2 linked regions of the Neurospora crassa OR74A genome follow. The main gene of each other region encodes a partner of the protein of the gene in region 2 in a complex. Links are inferred from orthologs where the notes say so. Each region holds a gene or a part of one and is shown on either strand. Other genes may lie near its edges. The genes, in order: NCU07560 and NCU04171.

Region 1 (4,556 bases), on a different chromosome or scaffold from region 2:
CAGCATCCAAGCGGTTGCTGGCACGGAAGCTTTGCTCAGTCATCGTTGATCAGGATGACGCTTATGTATTGGGCATGATAGAAAGGAGAAGTACTTTCTGATCACTCATGTGATGTATATGTTAGATGGTGTATGGTATCAGGGCCGGCTGGGGTGAATCTGGGTAAATATCCTGGCGGACAACTGGCGTGCGGTAGTTTTTATACATTAGGATCTTTTCAATGAACAGACATGACTTTTTTTTTTTTTTTTTTGTTGCATTTTGGTCATCGTTAAGGAACTTGGACTATGTAGTGTAGTCCACTGTTTCCGGCATTGCGCAAGGTGTGCTGAACAAGTCGGTTGATAACGTGATGACTGCTCATTCTATTCTTGTTCATCTTTTTTTGATATTCCACTAACTTGTCCATCCATTCTGATACGTAGCCTAGTAAAGATTTGGAAAGCTTGTCCGAACGCTAGCAAGGAGGCAGGTCTGATAATTCTATGAGATGAAGCACGCATATGTATATCGTGATCAGCGACATGGATGGTGGAAATGAATATTCTGAGCTGGGCAGTATGTGCATTGCGGCGTAGCTGAGACTTCAGTAGATGTGGCCGTGCTTGATCGCGACATTGACCGGAGTGACGACAAGCAAGTGTCGGGGATGGAGAACGATCCATGAATGATCTCAGGAAGGTTCATATCCAAAGTCAAGGAATGAATCGACAGGACACCAAGCAGCCAGACAAGACGCGTGCCACAAAAACGAGGCTTGAGAAATTCGAGACGGGGAAGCATTTCACGAAGTGGCAAGAATAACACTTTCAAAGAAACCAGCCCCATCTTGACTTTCATCTAGCGAAGTCTCCTCACACGTAGTGTACATGCCATGGAGAAGGAGACTGACTGACCAGACTGACTGGGCCAAGCTCATTTCTCAGAAAGAGCAAACACACACACACACACACAAGACAGTCTGCAGTATTATTACATACATACAATGCAAAACCGTCACGAGAGTTCGCAGGAGAAAAATATGTAAGCAGATTCTATCTAACAGCAACCCGGTAGAGCGTTTATAGGCAGGTACCGCTAGCGAATTCGTCTGCTCATGGTGGTTCCTCTCGGCACGGACTAAATGATCAGGACAGTTTTGGAGGAAGAGAAACGTCGTGATGATAAGGAATGGTGCCTTGAAGAAAGAAAAAAAAGAAGAAGAAGAAGGAAGAAGAGAAGGGGAGGGGGGATTGGTGGCAGTTTTATTGCAGCAGTTCAGTTCAAAAGTTTGCTGGACCCGCTTCGGTCAGGTGAGTGGTCATGTGGGGTCGTAGGAGCCGTGAACCTAACTGAGGACGTGAAAGTTATGGTGGGGTAGGTAGCGGGGGGGATTGGTTTTGGAGAAGAAAAAGGGAAGCTTTCGAAAAGGGAAGGCGGTGAAGGAAAGTAAATCGGTTGCCAAGACTCAATTGTTCAATCGCGACCAGGAACGAAACGAGCAGGGAGGGGACCTGACTGATCGGTGCGCGGCGGCAGCGCGGCAGGCGGGAGGGCCCCAGGGAAAGAGTGGGGCTGCGGACATCGAAAAAGTTCACGGCCGGTTTCCCGCGCTGTGTGTCGCCCGTCCGTCCGCTCTGCCCTGCCTGCCTGCCCGCCCGCCCGCCCGCCGCAGCGACCGACCGACCGACCCCGTCCCGCATCCACCCCGAGACTTGCGAGAGAGAGAGAGAGAGTTGCGTTGAGGATTGGCGCGCGCGCAAGATTCACCCGTCCTCCCTCCCTCTCCCCGTCCCGTGTCCCGTTGTCTACACACCCGGGCCCCGTTCAACAACCAAGTCATATATACTGCCCATCATGTCGGCGTCGAGTAGGGGAGCTGCTCTCCTTAGGAGTATGGACCACTTTTTCTTTATCTTCTTTTCGTATCGTCAACTCGTTACGAATTGGTGTTTTCCATGCATGGCTTCCGATCGCAAACTTTAAGCTTAAAGACACCATAACTAACCCGTCGCAATCTGTTCTTTCTCTTCCTTCCAGGCCAACAACGGTCCATCTGCCTACAATGCCGCAACCAAACCCGAGTACTTGCGCCCGCCGGCGTCACCAGCGCACCTAGACGTTTCTACTCCGCCGAGGCCTCTGCCACTGCCACTGCCACTGCCACTGCCACGACCACAACAACACTACCCCCTCCTCACCCGCCCGTCACCACATCAACAGGCACCCACGCCGCCACCTCGACCTCGTCGCAAATCTACCGCATCAAGTCGGGCGTGATCCTGACCCGCCCCCCGCTGCTGACGCGCGACCTCACCCCCTTTGAAGAATCCTTTTACTTTTACCAGAAGCGCCTCAACGAGCGGCTGACGGCCCCCTTCCGCAAGGACTTTTACTTCAAGAAGGACACGGCCGCCGACCTGGACTGGCGCATCAAGCTGAAGGAGCGCCACGGCGTGCCCGCCAAGGACATTGGTCGGTACAACCCGCGCGGCCGGATGGCGTGGAACGACGAGGTGCTGGTGGGGTCGCAGACGTCGTCGAGAAAGCACATGGTGGAGAAATTGCTTGCCGACGCGGAGATGCGCGTGTCGGAGGATGGCGAGGAGATCCCCGCCGAGGACCGGGTCCCCGTCGAGAAGCCGATGCCGAGACGGACGGAGGCGGATGAGAAAGGGGATGTCAAGCGGTTGGATCGCGCGCTGGACAAGACGCTTTATCTGGTAGTCAAAAAGAAGGCGGACAAGGAAGGCGAGGAGGCCAAGTGGATGTTCCCTACGGGCGTGGTGCCTACGGATGAGGGGTTGCATGAGGTTCGTTATATTCCCTTTTTCCCCAACCCAACTTCCAACCATTTTCCAAAACTCGCGGCCAACTAACCTTTGATGATGACGATAAACAGACCGCAGCCCGCATCCTCGCCGAGTCCGCAGGCGTCAACATGAACACGTGGATCGTCGGCCGCGTGCCCGTAGCCCACCACGTCGTCCGCCCCGTCTTCGGCCAGAAGGACGGCGCCCTGCTCAAGAAGGGCGAGAAGATCTTCTTCCTCAAGGGCCGCATCATGGCCGGCCAGGCCGACCTGACCGACAACCTGCATGATCTGGTCGACTTCAAGTGGCTCACGCAGGAGGAGCTGCGCAGCACGTTGGCGGAGGAGTACTTCCACAGCGTCAAGGGCATGTTTGCTGAGAGGTGAACAACACAACACAACAACACCCTATGTAGCCTGGTCTGGTGAAGTGAAGTATGGAAGAACAAGGTTGGAGAGGTGATGATGAGTCGATGGTCGAAGTCGGTGAGACTACACCATTATCTTCCGGGGAAATAGAATGGGGAAGTGCAGTGGGTGGCGGAAGAAGAAGAAGAGAGAAGCATGTGTACAAATGTATTGATATCAAAAGATGGTTTTAGTCGGTCGGTGGCAAGGTACAATTGTTGTTTATGCGCTGAGTAGACCTGGACCGCCCCCTAGCCGAACACAATCAAAGGTCTCGAGGAAGAGAATCAGAGATGGTTTGGAACTTGACTTGACAGTTCAAAGGCCTCGCACGCCTCAGCGTACTTGACCAGGCCGAAGCCAAGCTCGCATGCCATGTCTGCAAGAAGCGGGCGAAGGCTGACATGAAGCACAGGGACGAGAGAGGGTGTTGTTTGTAATGTAAAAACATATGCTGTGTATAGAGATTTGGGATGAAGATGTCATACAGGATGCGAGATGGTTGGTGAATACTACCAGACATCCGCTGGGTTGGTCATACCGCTATCTGAGGTGAAGTCTGATACTAACATACACAAACAAGACAGACTGAGCTAATCACATATCTGTGACCCGATTCTGCATTAGAGACGTGGATAGGTATGGCAGTGACCTCTTCAAGATCCAGCCTTGATCAATGATGAACACCGGTTCTCCCGGCTTGAGACACACAGTCAAAGCTTGTGCCAGCCGCAGACCAAAGCAACGGTACTTTTGAGCTGGTTGAAAGTCCACACCACGGCGGCCTGTAGGATATCTTCACACGTCTCCTACGCCTCCATCAGGACATCCTCCTTGATCATCCATATAAGGCCGTTGGCTTACACCTCTAGCTGGGACACTTCTCGCGCGCGTACCAGTGGTGTACTCCTCCATTCCTCGTACATCATTAACAAATTACTTGTTGGCATTACCACACCACACACAAGTCAAGTCTCAAATCTCCACCCATCTGAAAAGCAATCTGAATAACACACAAATCGTGCCCAAAGCCCACACAAAAAGGAGCTCATACAGGAGGTCCCGATGATCATCCTAGAGATTCCGAATCCGGGACTTTCTGAGCGGAATCGAAGTGGTGAGCGCCAAAACTTCACCGTGGTCAAGGACCAATTTGTTTCCAAACTTTTCCCAGAAAACTGCCTCCCACGGGGGGAGACGATGAACCTCAGGTGCCTCCTGCTTCTCTTCCTCCTCCTCCTCCTCCTCATCACTGCCGTCACCGAAAACACTGGGCGGGGTGTCAACCATGCTTCCAGTCATACCAGAAGCGACAGAAGAACAAATACTTGACCGACGACTGATAATGCTGTTGGG
Region 2 (4,216 bases):
TGAGGTACCACGCTGCCTGGTGCCTGGGCACGGCGGTGCAAAACAACCAAAAGACGCAGGAACGGCTGTTGGCCATGGGCGGCGTGCCCAAGTTGGTGGACCTGGCGATGAAGGAGGGCGAGTCGGAGAAGGTGAGGCGCAAGGCTACGTATGCGCTTAGCAGTGCGGTGAGGAATTATCAGCCGGCTATGGATGTCGCGGCGGACGAGATGCATAAGCGCGGTCATGAGGTTTTGGTGAACAACGGGACCAAGGTGGATGCGGCGGATATGGATAAAGTGGATGAGGTTATTGACGTTTTGAGAAACAAGGCCAAGTCTGCTTAGAGCTGTCTAAGGGGATGAGTAGGTTGAGGGTTTGGGGTTCATGATGGGGATGACCAAATGAAAGGAAAATGGGACTGAAAAGATATGGTTTTGGTTTTGGCATTGGAAAAGGCGTTTGGTTTTTTTTGTTTGGAGATCCTTGGTTGATCAAGACGAATGGGTTCTGTTGTCATAATATCTTGACCTGTTCTGTGCAAAGCTAGACTGGGATATGGATATGTGGTTCTAGACTTGGGAGTTGTTTATGAAGCAGATACCCTTGACGATGTCCGTTTACACAATCCAGTTCACGCAATGATGACACCCTTCCAATTGTTTTACGCATTTGTGATTCTACTTCTTTGATCTTTGACCGTCAGACCCGGTGGTATTGTTCTTCTTCCGTTTCCTTTCCACTTCGTCTATAAGCCTCCTCCTCGTGATGTTGTTACAAAAGGTATATATACACCCAACATACATCGTCCTTATGTGGTTAGTGTATTCGTATTGTACAAGTTTCACACATCTCCTCATCCTCCTCAATTGTCATCCAACAACTATCATGATGCGAGATGTTGTTCATCATCTTCTCATCCCCCTTCCTTGAATCTCGTCCCTTTCTCAACCTCTCACGATCAACAGCCCGTTTGGCGCTTAGTTGCTGTAGAAAGGAACGCCGAGGGACTGGAGCAGAAGCTTAGCCTGCCTGTCGGAGGTGGCTGTCGTCTTGATGGCGATGTGGCAACCGGGAATCATCTTGGCGGGGTACATCTGGAGAGGATAGAAAGTCAGTAATCTGTCGTCAAGTCCAAGAAAACAAGAAGACGAAGCAGACGGTAGGGCCAAAGCCGGAGCCAGAGCCGGAACCAGAACCCTCCCTACTGTAGCTTCGGCTCCGGCTCCAACTCCAAACTTTTGTTCTCCTCCGTCCTCTCTTTCTCTTCCACCCATCATTTCCCAAGAAACAAACTCACATCATAGTTGCATTCCACCTCGGGAAAAAGCTGAACATCCTCCGGATTCAAACCAAACTGCACATTACCGCTTCCATCACCCGTACTCGCCGGCACGCCCTTCCAATCCTTGATCCGGGGGAGAACCAAATGGATCAACCGATCCATAAACTCCCACGCCGCGTTTCCGTAAATCGTCGTCTTGCAACCAGCCGGTTTGTTCGCCTGCAGCTGCCACTGCACCACGTTGTTCTTGGACCTCGTCATCTCCGGCATCGTCCCCGTCATGGCCAGCAGCACCGCCCGGGCCACAATCAACAAGTCCGGGTTCTTGAGACCGAGCGGCACGAAGGTGGAGACGGTGATTTCCTTGATCTCGGGGATGTTGCGGAACGAAATGTCGCGCTCGCGAATGGGAAGCTCGGGGGCACCGCGGGGCGCGCGGCGGGCACGGTTGGCGAAGTAGGGCGAGTCGCCCTCCCAGGCACGCAAGCGCTCCGTGGGTTCCTTTTTGGGCGTTCCCGGGGGTGTGTGGATGTAGGCCAGGGTCATGAGGTCCGAGGCCATGACGGTGCGGAAGGTTTCCTTGAGACGAGGCATGTTGAAGGGGCCGGGAACGAAGTCGCGGGCGATAGGGTCGGAGGAGGGAGGGGATTGGATGGGGTGGAGGGGGCCGCGGTTGTACTTGGGGGGGTGGTATTGGTATCTGTTCGGTAGGAGGTGAGGCATGGTGGTTAGCAACGTTTAAACATCTTGTTTATGGTTTGCGTATATGTATGTATATATACATGTGTGTGGCTAGCTATGTAAACCACGGGACGGAGGGAGAGTGTATAACGCACCTGCTGCTAGGCAACCTCGCCTTCCTGTCGGCCGCGCGCTTCCATGGCCTGAACTCCTTCTTGTCCTCTTCGCTGGGGATGGGAGCGTCCAATGCCGACCGTGTCTCAAGCTCGGCGAGGTCGGGAATGTTGGATTTGGGAGTAGCGGCAGCAGCGCCGGCACCAGTTTGTGTCGAGGCGCATCTTCGGACGGCGAACTGAGCAGAGAAAGGCTGAAGAGCGCGAGCCGATCGCGAGACCCCGCGGAGACTGGCCATGGTGAATTAGGATACCGAAAAAAGAAACCGGCGTTCGGGCGGACGCTCTGGTTTCGGAATTGGCGACCGTGGAGGTTGTCGCTTCGGAGTGGTGGTTGAGGAAGAGGGTCCGGCGCACGCGGGAAATCGGGGCCGAAGGTCTGTCACGGACGGGCAGAGGGCAGCGAGGTTCCTTCTCCGGCAAGCGCAAGGTCCTGGTCCCGCGTCGAGGCTCGAAGAGGTGCCGGTCCCCGTTGTGCCGCCCGCCGGAATTTTTTTTGGAGCCTCTGCGGAGTCTCGAACCGGGGCCAATGCTTGGCAGCACGGGCCAAAGCTGGATGAGTTTGGGGTTAGGGATATGAGTCTGTTACCCCTGAAAGCGTTCCTGGACCCCTGAGAATGCATCTGATGTGGTTGATGAACTCTAAATAAAGCATGGATTTGGAAATATATCACTATGTTTGTACCAATATAAGCGATTCAGATCAGGATTCCAACACATTAAGACGACATGTATGATTAGATTAGGAGACACTTGTATATGCGTACGCTTCCTTTGCTCGAAGTATCCTCCGAGCCACTAATAATTACATCATTCCGCGCACACCTTATCAGCATGTCTAGCAATAACAACAAAGTATGTAACGGGGAAGAAAGAGAAAACAGAAAAAACATCCAAGTATCATCATCACCGTCCAAGACTACGTCCCCATCGCCTCTCAATATTCTTCCGCCCAGAGCCGCTTCTTCTCACTTGTCCCACACCCCCATCACCATCCCATTTCAACTCATAATCAGACTCCCCATCTTTGCCCAAATTGGGTAACTTCACCTTCACCATCCCCTCGTTTCTCCTTTCTATACTCCTCCTAGCAGGAGAAGTAGTCCCAGCCGGCTGAATACTGTAAAGCAACAACCTTGAGCCAGCACCGCAGAACTCCGTCTTATCACCGACGCAGAACGACCTCTTGCACTCATACAGCTCTGACGCCGCCACCGCCGTGTCCGCGAGCGAATTGCCGCAGTAACACTCCTTGCCGAACTCCACGCCAAAGAGACTGTAGCCCCTCGACTGACAGCGTTCGTGGCACATCTCGACCGTCATGCTCGTGCTGTTGGTGTACGAGTGAGCTTTGAGAATACGAGCCGTTGAGTTGTCGATGAAGCAACCCTGTGGCGTCGCCAAGCGCCCGTTAACCACGGACGGGTTGACGAGCCGGGGCGTCACGTAGTTAGTTTGTCTGAAGACGTCCAGACGAGCGCGGCCACCGCAGCGTGTTGATGGGTCACCGGCGCAGGTGAGATTACAGCCAGTCTGGCCGAGGCTGTAGCCGGGCTTGAACTCGAGACCACAGTAGCATTGGGATTGGAACTCGAGGCCGGCGAGGGGGTAGTTTTGCTGGGCGCAGTAGTTAAGACATTTTTGAATGGTCATGCCGGCGCTGTCGTATAGGTAGGTGCCATTGAGCGCGCGAGCAGTAGGCGCGGCGGTGTTGGAGTCACTGGCACATCCTTGGTAGTCCCAGTTCACAACAGCAGGAATTGTAGGCGAGGCTGAGGCGATGTTCGTGGTGGAAGTAGTGGCAGCAGTGGCGATGGTCGTGGTGGCTTGAGTAGGGGCTGTAGTAGCAACGGCGGCGGCGGTTGTAGTAGTTGTACTAGTTGTAAACAAGACTGGGGTGGTGTTCGTAGTAGAACTAGTAGCGGTAGTGGTGGTAGTGGTGACTGGAGCAGGATCTGTACTCGTGACAGCCGCAGCGGTTGTAGTACTTGTGCCAGCGGCAGGAGGGACTGAAGTGACAGTAGGTGCAGAGAGAGTGGTACTGACAACCGCAGGAGCAGTAGTAGATGAGCTGGATCCTGGAGCGACGCTGAGAGTG

What was found.
Region 1: NCU04171 (region 2) and NCU07560 share a complex: the UniProt entries of both Schizosaccharomyces pombe proteins name them as parts of the mitochondrial large ribosomal subunit. The link is inferred for Neurospora crassa OR74A from reciprocal best matches to the Schizosaccharomyces pombe genes mrpl7 and mrpl17.

What each region holds. Positions count from the first base shown.
Region 1 is NC_026503.1:4,356,536-4,361,091, forward strand, and holds NCU07560 (50S ribosomal subunit L30), read left to right. Parts: upstream 1-1,490; 5' UTR 1,491-1,837; coding exon 1,838-1,874; intron 1,875-2,020; coding exon 2,021-2,793; intron 2,794-2,882; coding exon 2,883-3,179; 3' UTR 3,180-3,744; downstream 3,745-4,556. Other genes in the region: NCU16690 (hypothetical protein), read right to left, coding at 518-841; NCU07559 (hypothetical protein), read right to left, coding at 4,275-4,556. UniProt on the Schizosaccharomyces pombe protein: Component of the mitochondrial ribosome (mitoribosome), a dedicated translation machinery responsible for the synthesis of mitochondrial genome-encoded proteins, including at least some of the essential transmembrane subunits of the mitochondrial respiratory chain.
Region 2 is NC_026505.1:5,079,040-5,083,255, reverse strand, and holds NCU04171 (mitochondrial 54S ribosomal protein YmL7/YmL5), read right to left. Parts: upstream 2,633-4,216; 5' UTR 2,358-2,632; coding exon 2,101-2,357; intron 1,965-2,100; coding exon 1,280-1,964; intron 1,077-1,279; coding exon 960-1,076; 3' UTR 628-959; downstream 1-627. Other genes in the region: NCU04172 (hsp70-like protein), read left to right, coding at 1-326; NCU04170 (hypothetical protein), read right to left, coding at 3,025-4,216. UniProt on the Schizosaccharomyces pombe protein: Component of the mitochondrial ribosome (mitoribosome), a dedicated translation machinery responsible for the synthesis of mitochondrial genome-encoded proteins, including at least some of the essential transmembrane subunits of the mitochondrial respiratory chain.